Schizosaccharomyces pombe: one gene and its partners. The protein of the gene in region 2 interacts with the protein of the main gene of each other region in a pairwise test. Each region holds a gene or a part of one and is shown on either strand. Other genes may lie near its edges.

Region 1 (6,899 bases), 300 kb from region 2:
CCTTTTCTTTTTCAAGTTTATTTGCATTAGCTCAAAGGGTTGAACTATTTTTATCTGTTACACATTTGTTGTTGTTGTCGTTGTTTTTTGGTTGGTCTTATTCGTTTTTGGTTGCTATCTGCTTACCCCTTACTACTTTACTGACTGATTTTATTTTTTTCGTCTGATTATTTTTTACCTGCTTTACCCACTTGAGCATTACTTTTTTTTTCATAAGTCAGGATGGCATTCTCTTTAGTTTCGATTTTATTATCGATTGCATTGGCTTGGTATGTTGGTTATATTATTAACCAACTTACCTCTCGCAATAGCAAACGCCCCCCAATTGTCTTCCATTGGATACCCTTTGTAGGTTCTGCTGTCGCATACGGTATGGACCCTTATGTATTTTTTCGCGAGTGTCGTGCCAAATATGGTGATGTTTTCACCTTTGTTTGCATGGGTCGTAAAATGACCGCTTTCCTTGGTGTCCAAGGTAATGATTTCCTCTTTAACGGTAAATTAGCTGATTTGAATGCTGAAGAAGCTTACTCTCATTTAACTACCCCTGTATTCGGTAAAGATGTCGTTTACGATATTCCCAACCATGTTTTTATGGAGCACAAGAAGTTTATCAAATCTGGTCTTGGCTTCTCTCAATTCCGCTCTTATGTCCCCCTCATTCTTAACGAAATGGATGCTTTTCTCAGCACTTCTCCTGACTTCGGACCTGGTAAGGAAGGCGTTGCTGATTTGCTGAAGACCATGCCTGTCATGACTATTTACACTGCTTCTCGTACTTTACAAGGTGCTGAGGTTCGCAAGGGCTTTGACGCTGGTTTCGCTGACTTGTACCATGACCTTGATCAAGGATTTAGCCCTGTTAACTTTGTTTTCCCTTGGTTACCTCTCCCTAGAAACAGACGCCGTGATAGAGCCCACAAAATTATGCAAAAAACTTATCTTAAAATTATTAAAGATCGTCGCTCTAGCACTGAAAATCCTGGTACTGATATGATTTGGACTTTGATGAGCTGCAAGTATAGAGATGGCCGTCCTTTGAAGGAACATGAAATTGCTGGTATGATGATTGCACTTTTGATGGCTGGTCAACACACCTCTGCTGCCACTATCGTTTGGGTTCTTGCTCTTTTGGGTAGCAAACCTGAAATCATTGAAATGTTGTGGGAAGAGCAGAAGCGTGTTGTAGGTGAAAACTTGGAATTGAAGTTTGACCAATATAAGGACATGCCTCTTCTCAACTATGTTATTCAAGAAACTCTTAGACTCCATCCCCCTATCCACAGTCATATGCGTAAAGTCAAACGTGACTTACCCGTCCCTGGTTCAAAGATTGTTATCCCTGCCAACAACTATCTTCTTGCTGCTCCCGGTTTAACTGCTACTGAAGAGGAATACTTCACTCATGCTACTGACTTTGACCCCAAGCGCTGGAATGACCGCGTCAATGAAGACGAAAATGCTGAGCAAATTGATTATGGTTATGGTCTCGTTACAAAGGGTGCTGCTTCTCCATACCTACCCTTTGGAGCTGGTCGTCATCGTTGCATTGGTGAGCAATTTGCCTACATGCATTTGAGCACTATTATTAGCAAGTTTGTACACGATTACACCTGGACTCTTATTGGAAAAGTTCCCAACGTTGACTATTCCAGTATGGTTGCTCTTCCCTTGGGTCCTGTTAAAATTGCTTGGAAGCGTCGTAATTAAGGGAATTTCCCCTAATTTGAATGCATTTGCAATACGCTTATGGTATTGGTTTCTAACTTTGGTTCCGCCTTTCTCTTTTCATGCCCGTGTTAAACGTTTTTGTTTTATCTGACGAGTAACGAATAACCATGAAATTTGCTAGACATTTTAAATTTTAAGTGCTTTATTGTTTTATGAAATTGTAAATATTTTAGCGTTTTAAATGACTATTTGGTAGCATTTCAAATGTCAAAAGAATGTATTATGCAATTTCAAACTTCCTTATCCTCGCACTAAATCGATATGAAAACTACCCTGTCATCATTAGTGATACATTTTTACGATATTATAGTTTTAATAACGTCGGGACGCTCTCTTTCGTTTTCATGTAGGCATTATAACAATAAAGTACGCTACTCTCTCTTTTCAAAACCTCATCGTGCAAACGCAAGGTTTCTCAGTAAGCTATTAATTAAAATTTTGTAGTTTTTAATTGTACCATCGATCCAACCATAGCATTAATAATACAAAGTGGGTAAAAGCGTAGGCTGCTATTCAACTGAATGAAGTTTACATTTTATAAAGGATTAGTGGTATGCTATCTTATGTGTGTCAAGTAACGTATCTGTTGTCTTATTTACTGGATACTTTTGGCATCCTTGATGGGTAAAACTTTTCTGCGTAGCAATTCGCTATTTACTTAAGTTGAGTAATAAAGGGCGTAGACATGTCAACCACCTCTATATTTCTTGACAGGTTGTGACAGTTTCAGTCTCGAATTGAAATGATATCGAGCTTTTCAAATGGTTTTTGGAGTAAAGACTACGCGACTGGTGTGAAAAAACTTTTCGATTGCCTGGATAATGGAGTTGAAGAGAATGAGCAAGGTATTTAAATAAATTAATATAGGACTTCCTCTAACAACGAATAGTAAAAAACTTGTTGAAGTTATATAAAGAAGCGAATGAGGAATTTGGTGAAAAGCTTCAAGAAATAACGAAAGAATGTCTAAAAGGGAAAAAGCCAGAGAATACAGAAGACGGTGCTACTTCTAACAAGGCTTTTGAAGGGTTGCGCTCCGAGATTGCTAATCAAGGAAAGCAACATATTCGTATTGCCAAGGACTTAGAAACGCTAATTATTGCTCCTTTCTCTAAAATGTCTATTGATCATTCTCAGAAGTTACAAACCAGCCAACAAGTTCTTACCAATCAAATAAAGAGTTATGAAAAGAAATACTATACACTTAAAAAAACAAAAAGCGCTTACTACAACAAATGTAGAAACCTTGAAGATTATGAAGAAGAATCAAAGGAGTCCAATGAAACTACTAGTGAGGCTATTACTGACTTAACAACAGTTTCTAGTCCACAGCAGCAATCATTGTTGGAAAATGATGATGATCTGATTCAACTTGGTTTTATGGAGTTTAGGCCTGAGGAGTTAAAAGAGGTTTTGGCTCAAGTATTACAAGAAATACCCTTACAGGATTATCGCGTCCCTATCTTAGGTACTTACCCTAATACATGTTCAGGAAATATTATTGTTTCTTGGCTTCAGGAAAATCTTCCTGTTCCAACTTTAGTTGCAGCCGAGGCATTTGGACAAGATTTGATAGCTCAAGGATTTTTGCGTCATATGGGCGTTGGAGGTAGTTTTGTGAATAGTACCAACTTCCATTATCAGTGGAAAGACAAGGCTTTCCAGTTTGCAGGACTGAATAGTGTAGATAGTCTTGTCGAAAACGCCAAGGCTTTACCATTAGTTGGTGAATATCTTTCTGATTATATAAGTCATCGAAAGCTTTACTCTTCAGAAACTCAATCTCAACGTCTTAAAAGAGAAGTTCTGGATGCAAATAAAATTTACAGCGAATCAGTCGTTGATCTTGATAAATGCCGCACACTTGTGGAAGAAACTATTGCTGATCATTTGCAATTTCTTCAAAAATGTGAAACCGATCGCGTTCTTTATTATAAAGATTTTTTTATGGATTTATCAACAATTATTTCGAACTTTTTGCCTTCCATGAAATTGCTGGCTGATCAGATTGTTGTTTATCAGGAAATAATTCAACCTGAGAGTGACATTAGGTATATTTTAGAGTCTGCAGCTACTGGTCCATTTTTACCTCGTGTCGAAATATATGAGGATTATTATAATGATATTAAAGATCAGATTTTTGGAGTGGACGTTGAGTTTTTGTCTCATAGAGATAAGAAACGTGTTCCCATAATCGTTAGTACGATCCTTTCTTATTTAGATCTGTTATATCCTACGCTTGCCTCTGATGAAGTTCGTCAAAATATATGGCTTGTTAATTCTCCCTTGTCTTCTGTACATCAACTTCGAGAAGCGTTGAATCATTCTTCATCCGTGACAAAGGAGGTTTTATCACAGTATACTCCCTCCGTTGTGATAGGAGTTTTGAAGCTATACTTTCTTGAACTCCCTGATTCCATCGTTCCTTCTTCTGCTTTTGAGCTTATTCGTTCAATTTACATGAATCATAGTAATGATACGCCGTACAGGTTGAGACTTTTACAAAATCTTTTATCCCAACTTCGACGTGTTAATCTTGCTACTTTGAGTGCCATCATTACTCATCTAAATCGCTTGATTACGCTTACTCCAAATAAAGAAACTTTTACTATAAATTTAGCTAACTCCTTATCTTTATGCATTTCCCGTCCAGCAACATGGAATTTGGGTATTCAACATGATAAGCACCCAACGAAGTTCATGGAGGATCTTTTAACTTACGGACCAAGTATTTTTGAAGAACTCAGAAAATTGAATTCATCCAAACGTGTTTCTGACCGTGTATTATATCAATCTTCTGCTACTCCTCGGAGTACAGATGTATCACCAACTAGACCAGACTCCATTTCTTCTGTCCGATCTCATACTGCTGTCGAATCTCCAAGATCTTCGTTTGAGGAGCTGCAACCTTCAGAAATTCCCGCTGAATCTGAATTTACTCTTGAAAATGTGCCCACCTCATTGATCAGATCGTCGTATGCCTTGAATACTAGAAAGACAAGACGTAATTTCAGCCATTCTTCTGCTTCCAATGAAAGTGCCGCAATCTTTATTGATCAGGATGCAAAGATAGTGAACGAAGCAGTCGCCTCAAGAGATTCCAGTTTAAGTGGTAGTTAAAAATATGTTATTATGAGTTAACCTATGATCTTTTTTAAAGATCAGTTATGGATATCTTATTTGCATGACATGTTGCACATTCTTTTCTCATTATTCATTGCATATACCTAATAAACATTTTTCTCTATAGAAGTTTGACCACCATATATTATTGTACCTTCCTATTTTACTAGACTAAATTAGCATTCCTATACTATTTCAGAGTGTAATAGCAACTGTTCACGATTCCATATTCTTATTTTTTCCAAAAACTCGTCAAATTTTTCTTCACCTTGCATAAATGTTGATAAATCGTGCATGCTTAAACCTATCCGATGATCAGTTACTCGATTTTGGTTGAAGTTATAAGTTCGTAGCTTTTCCGAACGATCTGAAGACGTTACTTGATTTTTACGTTTCAGTCTTTCAGCCTCATTTTCTTTTGCGGCATTTAAGGCAGCCAATCTTGAATTCAGTACAAGAAATGCCTTTTCTTTGTTTTGATGCTGAGAACGAGAATCTTGCATGCTAACAGTGATACCAGTGGGTATGTGTGTTAAACGTACGGCGGATTCTGTTCTATTAACGTGTTGTCCACCGGCTCCACGAGATCTCATTACTTCGATTTTAACTTCAGATGAATCGTAAAGAGAAGAGGATTCATCATTTGACACCTGAGGTAAAACGATTACTGATGCAGTACTCGTATGAACTCTTCCTTTAGTTTCGGTAGCAGGAGTCCTCTGAACCCTATGAACACCTCCTTCCAACATAAGATGACCATAAGCTCCCTCACCTTCAATAGAGAAGATGGCCTCCGTTATCGCTTCAAGTCCTTGGACTGCACTTTTTGATATAAATTTGCAATTCCATCCTTTAAAATTTGCATACTGAAAATACATTTCCACTAGTTCATTTGCAAATATTGCGGCCTCTGTTCCTCCTACACCAGGACGAATTTCGATTAATGCAGGAAGAGCATATGAATCAGCTTGTGGAAGTAATGTGTTTTCAAGATCTTCTATGCTTTTTGGTATTTTATTACTTATTTCGTTTATTTCAGTCACTGCCATCATTTTAACCTCTGCATCTGACTCTTGGGCCTCCATTTGTTTCAAATCGCTTATTTGCTAAATTGTTAGAATTTTTTTAAATCAAGGTTTTCAAAAACTAGTTATTTAAGTATTTCAACATGCTCATCAAATAGCTTTACTTAGATAAACAGTAAATGCCTGGCAAAAGTCTTAAGTTATAGACCCATTAGCAAAAAAAAACCATTGTAAATCGATTACTATAAATAGGAAGAGTAATAAAAAAAAGGAAAGCTTTTGACTACAAGTTTGAGACAAATTCGTCTTATATCATACCTCAGACAAACTTTTAAATTTCGAATATGCATTATGAACGCGTCGAAGCCTAGCGATTCGCTTTGCTAAATCTGTATCGTTTGTCATTGCCGATTGATCCTAAAAGATATAAGTTAGATCATTTATATCAGATTTTAATTTTTCATGAGTAAAGCTTAATGTCCGGTATGCTTGTATTACCATTATTATTGTATCTCGAACAGTAGCAGGCTGATTTCACACTTTGTTTGCCGACACTTACTTTATTATTTACTTGATGGAATTGAAGATACTCTGAAGAAAGCGATCGGGCTTTTTCAATAAGTACTCTTGAAACGTTATGCTCAGAGTATCCTTTTTTGCAAGCAATGCTACGAATTTGATATTCAATTCCATGTCTAAAGTACCATAAAACTTTTTTAGTTAGAAGCATCACCTTGTATTTTGAGTTTCTTTTATTTCTGCATACTCAAAGAATTAGCAGTAAAACTAATTAGTGTTAACCTGTTAAAACCGCCTTTCTGACCTTGGTGTGCTTCTTCGATAAGTACTTTTATGATATTTAAGGAGGTCCTTGCAAATTCTGTCGGATATGCATTATAATCCGACAGTGCACAGCAAAGTAAAATTTTGTGTACGCATTCTTAACTCGTAAATTTTTTTTACGAATCTATACACCTAGAAAGAGTTTGCTATTATTTTATGAGTAGAGTCGCCACGAAT
Region 2 (4,998 bases):
ACGTTGGGATCCAAACCTTTCAAATAAAATTGTTCTTTAGCAAAAGGACCGAGACCACGAAGGGTCATTGAGCGATCAGCATTGTTAGTGTTAACAGTTGAGGGGTTGTTTTGAAAAGCACAGAAAGAACTTGAAAATTTGTTAAATGTGTTATCATAAGTGGAGTTAGAAGGGTTGACATATATCTCATAAGAAGGGATGATGGAGGTCTCATTTGTAGTGAGATTTCCCGTAATGAGTAGTGCTGCTTGAAAGTCGGTGTCCTGGGCAAACAGAAATTTAGTTGCATTGTATTGACTAAAGGGAGTGTCAATTCCAGCAGCTAATTCATAATTAATCACATTATTACCTTCTAAAGTAGATTCACCTGACTCGACAAAAAAATTGGGAGCAAATTGAGAAAAAGCACTGGACACAGCAATATATAAAGGTGAGTAGCCGGTTACAAATATCGTTGCTAGACCATTTTCAGAAGCAGTAATCGTAAAATTATCTAAAGGAAGAGCTTCGTCAAACGTATTGTTCGATATATATAACATCAAATCGTTCGCGCCATCAAAAGCAGTGCAGGTTGATAAAGTTAGACTAACGTTGTAAGCTGTGTTTCCTTCCCATGTTAAGTTATAGTAAGCAGTGCTTTGATCATTTATATTACCATTTATGGTATTGTTCAGCAGCAAGCTAGTATAAGTAGCGCCAAATATGTTTCTAGTTATCGACCAGAAAAAGAGTATCTTCAAAATTAAATGGGTGCTAAAAAAAAACATATAGAACCTTTAGTAATTACTTTCAAGGCTTTAATATTCAAAAGTAAGCTCAAAAGTTTCGCACATGCAAATTGAGAAGTTAATTGAAATTTCTAAAAAACTAGCAAGTTGTATATCATTAAGGATCGTTAAAAATATTCAAATAATCATAAAAGTAAATTTTGGACCTAATTAATATGGGTATTCGCTTTGCGAGAGAAAATGATAGATTTTAGATCTTCAGTCGGACATGCTTGGTTAAGAAATGAATGTGTCAGCAACTCAGCAGCAGTAGCTCTAAAAATGGTATCGATTGTAAGACAGGAATTTAAGAAAGATTTTAAGTTTTTAGAAACTAAATTAGGTTTTTTAAGAGTTGGAGTTCCATTTTTTGCTATCAGATACAATGCACGAATTGGATCCTCTCTGAGATAAGGCGGTTCGTTTTCAATCATCTCTATAATCATAATTCCAAGACTCCATATATCAACTTTGGTCCCATATTCGTTTTGCTTTACTACTTCAGGGGCCATCCAATATGGTGTTCCAACCATCGTAACTCGTTTATTAGTACGGTTAGACAATCGAGCACAAAATCCAAAGTCAGTAATTTTAATATTTCCAGAGTTGTCGAGTAAAACATTGTCACTTTTAATATCTCTGTGAATAATATTTCTGGCGTGCAGATGCTGAATTCCCTTGCACGTTTCTAGACAAATACGAGCAATTTGTGCTTCTGTAAGCTTACTTTTTTCAATAATATCAGTCAAAGATCCAGCGTTCATGTACTCCATCACAACCCATAAATGCCTTTCTCGAACAAGAAATGAATCTAAATATGTCACTATGTTAGGATGAATCGATTCTCTCATGACAGTGATTTCGTTTAAGATTAGTTCCTTTCTTGTTTGGCACTGCAAATCAATACTTTTTATTGCAACTGAGTCAAAAATACCTAATTGTTTTCCTCCGACGACTTTGGCTAAGTAAACAGATCCCGATGCACCCTGGCCAAGTTTATGCTTAACATTAAAATATTCGACAGGATCATGAGAAGTAACTGAGTCTTTTAACATGGCTAAAGCCTGTCTATCAGTCATTCTTCTACTCAACGTGTTCTTTGAATCTGCTTTGACCGGTACTTTGGTTACTTTTCCGGTCATGATAGATTCTACATGACTTTTGTCTTCAATAAAAGGCCTTATGATATGCTTTTTATCCGTCTGTATGGTTGTCTTCGGCTTGCATCTTTCAGTAATATTCATTTTAGTAACTCCAGATGTCGTGAGTTTATGATGTTTGTCAGCATCGCGAATAGAATACGATGTAGTAGAGGATCGTGGCAGTGTCTCTTTGCAAAATGAAAAACTATCTTTAGTTTCGCTTGTTGTATCCAACTGCTTACTATAAAAATCCAAAGCTTGAATAACTGCTTTCGGCTCCTCCATGCATTCTTGTTTGGTAATCGAACTACTCTGAAGTAGCAATATCCACTCCTTGGGTAATCCGACATAATTTCCTTCATTATCAATTCCCACATGCACTTGGTGTTTAGGATTCATCGGACTTGAAACTTTGCTAGCAAGCGCACGAGAAGATATTAAATCCATCCACTCATAACATTCCATATTATCGGCCACGGACAATTCACAAGCTTGAATCTCAAAATTTTTGGTACTACTTTTGAACCTCAATTTAAAGCAGAATGTCCTAGACTTTGAACGCTCTACTTTTTGAATATCCTTCAACAGCAACGTAACCTGAGCACTTTCAGACTTGCTTCCTTTATATATCGACAGAGAATTGCTAGAAAGTACTAGCCACTTTTTAGTCCAAGGGAGATACTTCATTTTATCTTCCTTCAGCATAACCCATCCTGATCGAATGATTCCCTTGCTTTTCTTTGTATCTTTGAGAGATGGAATTTCAACCGGCACGCCTCTTACACTTAAAAGCATTTTGAAAACGATGCAATAGTTTTGGTATACATGCTTCTTTTATACATTTTAGCTCAAATGTATAAACAAAGAAACCCCATTTATAAACAAAGAGAATGCAAAAAACAAAGAAATGTTATGAAAAGAGAAGTCAATTGACGTCAACAGTAGTGGATGAAAAGTAATTCTTAATTAATTAGATTAAGTCTTACAATTGCAATTTGCAATCTTATCGCAAGCGAACATGACATTGGTTACAAGATTCATGACAACGCTCACAAATGTAAACTGTGTATAGCATTTATAATATCTGAGAGTGATTTTAGGTAATTTTTAGCATGGAAATGTATAACTGAATTTATGCGAAGTGGTGGGCAATTCTGGTTAGGAAACATTAATTGATAATGGGTTTTGACTAGCCGATAATTTGCATGTTAGTGCTAGGAGAACTTAGATTGCTAAAACGGAAATTAGTATAACAATTCTAGGACGAATTGAAATGTTGTTTAGACTCTTAAGGGTGGTGTTCAACCATTGCTCCAGTTGTAGAAAATTAATGTAAGACTCTCATAATTTTTTCGTGTAATGTCTAATTCTAAGAAACCGCTAGTTTACTTTTTATACCATTATCTAACAAGTTGGGAGTACTGAAAATAAACAACATGTGAATAATAAGTTCATCTAAACTTCTTGTCAATATTTAATAAAGCTTTCCGTACAATTGAAATTTTTTAAAGGAATATTCTTTTATTTTTGTAACTAACCAAGCTTTCTATTTGCTTGTCAAATTTTCTCTCCTTCATTTTCCTCAAGTTGGGCTGACATAACATAACTACTACAACTTCCATTATGGCGGACGAAATAATGGAGAACGTGGAGCTTACGACATCGGAAGATGTGAATGCTGTATCCTCTTGTAAGTAAATTATATTTTTTTATAATATGAATACTTACTGTGAATGATGCTAACATTGTTTTGCAGTTGAGGAAATGAATCTTAAAGGTTAGTTAATGAATTGATAAAAATTTCCATAATTTTGTTCTAACAACATGCAGAGGATTTACTTCGTGGAATCTATGCGTATGGCTATGAGACTCCGAGTGCTGTGCAAAGCCGGGCGATTATTCAAATCTGTAAAGGGAGAGACGTTATCGCACAAGCTCAATCTGGTACAGGGAAAACAGCAACTTTTTCTATTGGTATTCTTCAGTCGATCGATTTATCAGTCCGAGATACTCAAGCTTTAATACTTTCTCCTACGAGAGAATTGGCAGTTCAAATCCAGAATGTTGTACTTGCATTGGGTGACCATATGAACGTTCAATGTCATGCTTGTATAGGCGGCACATCCGTTGGAAATGACATCAAAAAATTGGATTATGGACAACACGTTGTTTCTGGCACTCCTGGGCGCGTAACGGACATGATTCGTAGACGAAATTTGCGAACTCGCAATGTTAAGATGCTTATTCTTGATGAAGCGGATGAGCTCTTAAATCAAGGCTTTAAGGAACAAATTTATGACATTTATAGATATTTACCCCCTGGTACACAGGTGGTAGTTGTGAGTGCTACCTTGCCTCAAGACGTGTTAGAAATGACTAACAAGTTTACCACTAACCCTGTTCGAATATTGGTCAAGCGCGATGAACTTACTCTTGAAGGCTTAAAACAGTACTTTATAGCAGTTGAAAAAGAGGAATGGAAGTTTGATACTCTGTGTGATTTATATGATACTTTAACCATTACACAAGCTGTGATATTTTGCAATTCTCGTAGGAAGGTTGATTGGTTGACGGAGAAAATGCGAGAAGCTAACTTTACCGTTACCAGTATGCACGGTGAGATGCCGCAAAAAGAAAGAGACGCTATCATGCAAGATTTTCGACAAGGAAATAGTAGGGTTCTCATATGCACAGACATATGGGCAAGAGGAATTGATGTTCAGCAAGTTTCATTAGTGATCAATTACGATCTTCCTGCAAATCGAGAAAACTATATACATCGCATTGGTCGCAGTGGACGATTTGGTCGTAAAGGTGTAGCTATTAATTTTGTTACAAATGAAGATGTACGCATTCTTCGGGATATTGAACAATACTATTCTACTGTTATAGATGAAATGCCTATGAATATAGGAGATATGGTTTAAATTTTCCATTGGAAAAAAAAAGCTGGTTTTTTTTGGATTATTGTACAGATTTGGGGGAAAACTTTAAAATAATAACTGTATATTTAAATTAATTTCCATTTATGTTACCCAAAACTTTCTATGCGTATTTTTTTGGTGTCATTTAGATCATAATTTTTTGGT
Region 3 (5,372 bases), on a different chromosome or scaffold from region 2:
AAGAGAAGAAATTCTCAGTCCCTGTATATGTAGTATGGGGAGCTTGCGAAGATGTGCACGTTTTGGAAAAATTTCGTTCTGGAGAATATTCTATTCCAAACCTTAACATAGTGGACGAACTTCATTCCTACCTATTGCAAATTGGAGATATGAAAATCCGTTTACTTGGTCTTGGAGGTCCTTATGTCCCTTTTAAGCTTTTTGACAATGGAGACGGTAAAGGAACTATTGCTGGTGGCCAGGGTACTATGTGGACTACAATCCTTCAAATGGGTGAACTAATAGAAACCGCTAAGAGCCTGCTTGACAGAGAGGAGGCACGTATTTTTATTACGCATCATCCCATTGGAAGAGAAGGTGTTCTTTCTCAATTAGCTACTGCTTGCCAGGCTGACCTGACTTTATCCGCCGGTCTTCATTTTCGTTATGGAGCTAGCTACAATGAGTTTTGCGTAAATCATAGTCCTGAACATTATCTTCAAAAACTTTCGGCTGCCCGTGCACAGTTTATGGAAGTGTATGACACTGTTAAGGCTGAGGTTGAGAAGATGGTTACCCCTGAACAACATCATCTAATAAACAATGTTGTTCGCCTAGTCTCTCGCATGCCCGATGCAACTAACTCATATGCTATGAATAACATGCTTCCCGGCACTGCTTTTAAAAACCTATGGAACTTCAATTTATTAGATGCTTCCTTTGGATGGACTGTTTTTGTCGTCGAAAATGGGCATGTTCAAGTGGAAAGCAAATCTCATGGCTTTAATTTAGGCTATCGTCGCATGGCTTCACGTCGTAACGAAAATTATGCATCTCACATTCCACGCTCAACTTCGGAAAATACCGGTACCTATTATTACGCTAACAATAGGTTGGTGGAATCTCAAGCACAGTTTACCAAGAACAGAGAAGCTACGGCTACACCAACCGAAGAAGAACAGATTGAAGGGTACGATCAGGAACATACTGATGAGCTAGGAATGTCAAGAGCGAATACTACAGAAGAGTCGGCTGAGACTCATGAAGTAATCGAAGAGAAGTCGGGACCACCTGCTGCCGAGGAAGAACCCATTTCTGGCGTAGCAGAGAAGCCTAGTCCTAATGAAGAAGAACAACCAGCAATTGGAGGGAAAGAGGAAGTTGACGTTGAAGAGGTGACTAAGGGTACTGGAAATCTCGAGCTAGGTGAGACGACTACAGAGGTTACCATACTTGAACAAGAGAATGCTGCAAATGTTACAAGATCTCAAGCACAAGAAGGTAGAAGAACTGATATGCAGAAGGGCAACGATCGTGAATTCCGTCAATATAGTGGTGAGCAGCGTTATGAACGTTGTGGATTTCATATTACCCCTTGCAATTCTGAAGAGGAAGCCCGTTCTTACTTTAAGGACGGGACAGACAGCCTGATTACGAATATTCAAATTCGTACTTCACTCAATCGTTACAAAAGTCCCCAAGCTCCTCAAAACGTAAACCCCACTAACTATGCATATGTATTTGTTGAAAACCAGAATGCTGTTTCAAAGGCCCTTGGAAGCATCAAAGTTCCAGAAGGTGTGCGGGTGAATATCATGCGTGATGATTCGTACTATCGTCAAAATAGAGGATGGTATCGAAATAACCGGATGGAGGGACATGGAACTGGAATGCGTACCAATCGTGGACGTGGACGAGGCGGCCGAATGAACAGAATGCAGCATCCTCGTCCATTACAAAGCGGTGGAAGTGTCAATAAACAAAGCGCTGAACCTACTACCCATGGTTAATGATGAATATTTTTTGCACTGTTTTCAATGCTGTTTTAGAACTGATTTTTATACCATCTTTTCACCTTTTTACTGATGTTAATGCAAAAGTTTACCTCATGAATGATGAAGTTTTCATGAAATTTATCTGACGCACTCATTTACCTCAATAACTGCGAAGCCAAAATAACTGATATGACTCTTTTAAGATATCTTTTTCGAATTCGGTTGTCATTGACAAAAGGGTGCTTACTTTACTTTCTTTCATATCGACTTTGTTTAGAAATAATAAAGTGATTTTTGACAAGATTGATTCGCAGAAAACTATATAGTAAAAATAATTAATTACTTTATGCTAGAATAGCAGTTATTAGCCTTTTCTTCTTAGAAAAGATGTAAGTTTTAATAGATCAAATTCATTAATTAAATAACCAAGTTGAAATTTAAAACACTCACAAACAATAAGCTAGCTACTCAACTAAACAATTTTTTTTTGTTTTTGCAACACAAGGTCCCAACCCTTACCGTATGTTATTGCGGGATGGCCGTATTCCACAGTACAGTATTTACCCATTGCCAGTTCCGCCGATGAATTCTAAAACGCCCACTCTAGGAATAGTTTGTTCAGAGGGGACCATTTCCTTGTCTTTGGAAGAGGGTTTTGAGTTTGTTGGAGTTCCGTTAAGTGGTGAAGGTTTAAAGCTACGAGTTGAAGCTCTAGCTCCGTCAGAGCGTTTGCAGGAATTCCTCGACGATGAAGTAGCTTATCACCCTGAGGGTATGTTTCAAATTTGAAAGAAAATTTATATTAACCAATTTTACTATAGAAAATGTGCACAAGGTGGTCGGTTTATCCTCAGCTTGGCTGGAGTTAGATTCTGAAGACACACTAATCGCTGATCGATCAGAAGAAGTGTTATTAAAGGAAGCATCATATGCTTCTTATTGTGGGTTATCTTCAATCATCCTAAATGGTCCAACTTCACCAATGAACGTTATGCGTTATGCGAGAGCTGTATCTTCTGCTTTAAACTCAACAATGAATCTAAAATTCTTGGTACAATTGGCAATCGAAAGTGGTCATGAAGACTATTTTGAGACATGGAAAATGTGGGACACAATTCGCTCAGCATGTGGTTATCACCCTAGATTGAAGGTGGCCTTAGAGCTACCTCCCGCTTGTTCACCCCCAATCGAGCTAGTAAATCGATGGTACGCGGAACCGATAGAGATGATTACTATGTCATGTATGGCTTTCGTTCCTAATCCCAACGGCTATCCAGTACTTGGTCGTAAGTTGAGGGCTATTTATGCTTTATATCTACGTCTCAATCCTCGAATTTTACTTTGGGATAATGACGCACCCGAGAAAATAGGTGATTCCCCCGACTACAGCATATATATGAAGCACCTCTTTGATTCACAGCCTCCAGCTCCACTTGTAGAAGATCTCGCGGATTCTTATAAAGACTATCTGCAAGTTCCTCTTCAACCATTGAGCTACAATTTGGAAAACATTACTTATGAAATATTTGAGCGAGATCCCGTTAAGTACGCCCAGTATGAGCAAGCAATTTTTTCTGCGTTGATGGATAGAGACGAATCTTCTGTCACGCGAATTGCCGTTGTGGGTGCGGGAAGAGGTCCATTAGTCGACTGTGCTTTACGTGCGGCAATTTCTTCATCTAGAACGGTTGATATGATCGCCCTTGAGAAAAATCCTAACGCTTTTTCCATGCTATTGATGAGAAACCGCCAGGATTGGGCTGGCAAAGTTACTCTAGTATTTGGAGATATGAGAACATGGAATCCTGATTATAAAATTGACATCCTTGTTAGTGAACTTTTGGGTAGTATGGGAGACAATGAACTTAGTCCGGAGTGTCTAGATGGTGTACAACATGTGCTTGATGAAGAAACTGGGATATGCATTCCATCTTCTTACATCTCCTATGTTACTCCTATTATGTCTCCTAAGCTATGGTCTGAAGCTCGTAATATGAATGACCCAAATGCTTTTGAAAGACAGTACGTGGTTTTAATGAACTCATTTGACTTTTTGGCTGCAGATGATGAGTTCCGTTTTCAGTCCCTTTGGTCCTTCCATCACCCAAACAAAGATAGTGAGGTTTATACTAAAAACTTGCATAACAAACGTTTTGCTAGTGTTCGTTTTCAGGCCTCTAGTCCTGGAATCCTTCACGGTTTTGCAGGATATTTTGAAGCTACATTATATAAGGATATTTCTCTTTCAATTATGCCAGCAACTATGGAAGCGAAGTCTCCTGACATGTTTTCATGGTTCCCTATTTATATGCCCATTAAGGTAAGTTACTATATTTTACGTTGCACTGTATACTAATATTTCCTAGAAACCCATGTACGTCCCAGAAAACAGCCAATTGGAATTTCACATGTGGCGATTGACGGACGGTATGCGGGTTTGGTTTGAGTGGTGTGCCAATGCCTATCTGGTGTTGCGGAATGGAAGTCAAATCAAGTTGTCTTCTACGGAGGTCCACAACATTTCCGGAAAAGCGTTCTCGTGTAATATGTATTAAAAATTAATAGTCCTTCTTTTACATTATTGTTTATGGTTTAAAACGGGTCTTCAAACCATTTTTTTGGAGTTTTGATTATAAAAATTTTTTGGATTTAGTTAAATCTGAATTTAACAAAAGTCGATTAGTTTTAGGATAGCTGTTACAATCAAGATTTTGCTGAGAAAGAAGGAGTAATGCTCCTATACTTATTGTCTTAAACGATTTGCCAGAATTTTAACTATTGTTCTTAAACATTCCTTTTTACACAATTAATTAACAGGCAAATTCATTCAACTGAAATACCCTGTCATTTGCTTACTATACTAGTTAATTAATTTTCATTAATGTATTATATTAGTCCGAACTTGAAAATTAACAACGCATTGCGTTATGCCACTCAATTTTATATAACGAATGTTAAGATAGATGGTTTGTTGGAAAATTCTTTAACTGCTTGTAGTACGGAGTATGCACTGTGTTCTTCGCCATTTACAGAATTGTGGGAAGGGTTTATATAAGGGCGATTTTCGACTATGGAACCAGCTCAGAAGAAACTAAGGCAAGAGTCAAAGAACCCGTATTTGGCACACTTAAACAATGGTGATGATTCTGAGGAAGTTGTTTCTTCGAAAGGGTTGACGCGACGTGCTACGACTGTTGCACAAGCAGCTAAGGCTGAAGAAGGACCAAACAATTTTTTTAATGATAAACCTTTTAGTCAAAATTATTTTAAGATTTTGGAAACTCGAAGAGAGCTTCCTGTATACCAGCAAAGAGAAGAATTTCTCAAAATTTATCACGAGAATCAAATTATTGTTTTCGTTGGTGAAACTGGTTCTGGTAAAACAACACAAATTCCTCAGTTTGTTCTTTATGATGAATTGCCTCATTTAACAAATACACAAATTGCATGTACTCAACCACGTCGTGTTGCAGCTATGTCCGTTGCAAAACGTGTCGCTGACGAAATGGACGTTGACTTGGGCGAGGAAGTTGGTTACAACATTCGTTTTGAAGACTGTAGTGGACCTAACACTCTGTTAAAATATATGACAGATGGTATGCTTTTGCGTGAAGCCAT

What was found.
Region 1: the proteins of shk2 (region 2) and rga8 interact in a two-hybrid assay, tested with the Schizosaccharomyces pombe proteins (one study listed by BioGRID).
Region 3: the proteins of shk2 (region 2) and skb1 interact in a two-hybrid assay, tested with the Schizosaccharomyces pombe proteins (one study listed by BioGRID).

What each region holds. Positions count from the first base shown.
Region 1 is NC_003424.3:569,946-576,844, reverse strand, and holds rga8 (putatiRho-type GTPase-activating protein Rga8), read left to right. Parts: upstream 1-2,421; 5' UTR 2,422-2,473; coding exon 2,474-2,576; intron 2,577-2,620; coding exon 2,621-4,851; 3' UTR 4,852-5,039; coding exon of another isoform or gene 5,040-5,960; 3' UTR 5,961-6,092; downstream 6,093-6,899. Other genes in the region: erg11 (sterol 14-demethylase), read left to right, coding at 223-1,710; mrf1 (peptide chain release factor), read right to left, coding at 5,040-5,960, 6,198-6,296, 6,439-6,609. UniProt on the Schizosaccharomyces pombe protein: Acts in signal transduction. Negatively regulates the pak1/shk1 control pathway.
Region 2 is NC_003424.3:270,858-275,855, reverse strand, and holds shk2 (PAK-like kinase Shk2), read right to left. Parts: upstream 2,705-4,998; coding exon 935-2,704; downstream 1-934. Other genes in the region: plasma membrane stretch-activated calcium ion channel Yam8, read right to left, coding at 1-767; fal1 (ATP-dependent RNA helicase), read left to right, coding at 3,533-3,599, 3,666-3,686, 3,740-4,836. UniProt on the Schizosaccharomyces pombe protein: Forms an activated complex with GTP-bound Ras-like cdc42. Participates in Ras-dependent morphological control and mating response pathways.
Region 3 is NC_003423.3:2,274,939-2,280,310, forward strand, and holds skb1 (protein arginine N-methyltransferase Skb1), read left to right. Parts: upstream 1-2,316; 5' UTR 2,317-2,336; coding exon 2,337-2,526; exon of another isoform or gene 2,527-2,575; coding exon 2,576-4,074; exon of another isoform or gene 4,075-4,120; coding exon 4,121-4,309; 3' UTR 4,310-4,686; downstream 4,687-5,372. Other genes in the region: SPOM_SPBC16H5.12C (uncharacterized protein), read left to right, coding at 1-1,769; ATP-dependent RNA helicase Prp43, read left to right, coding at 4,825-5,372. UniProt on the Schizosaccharomyces pombe protein: S-adenosyl-L-methionine-dependent protein-arginine N-methyltransferase that can catalyze both the mono- and symmetric (type II) dimethylation of the guanidino nitrogens of arginine residues in target proteins.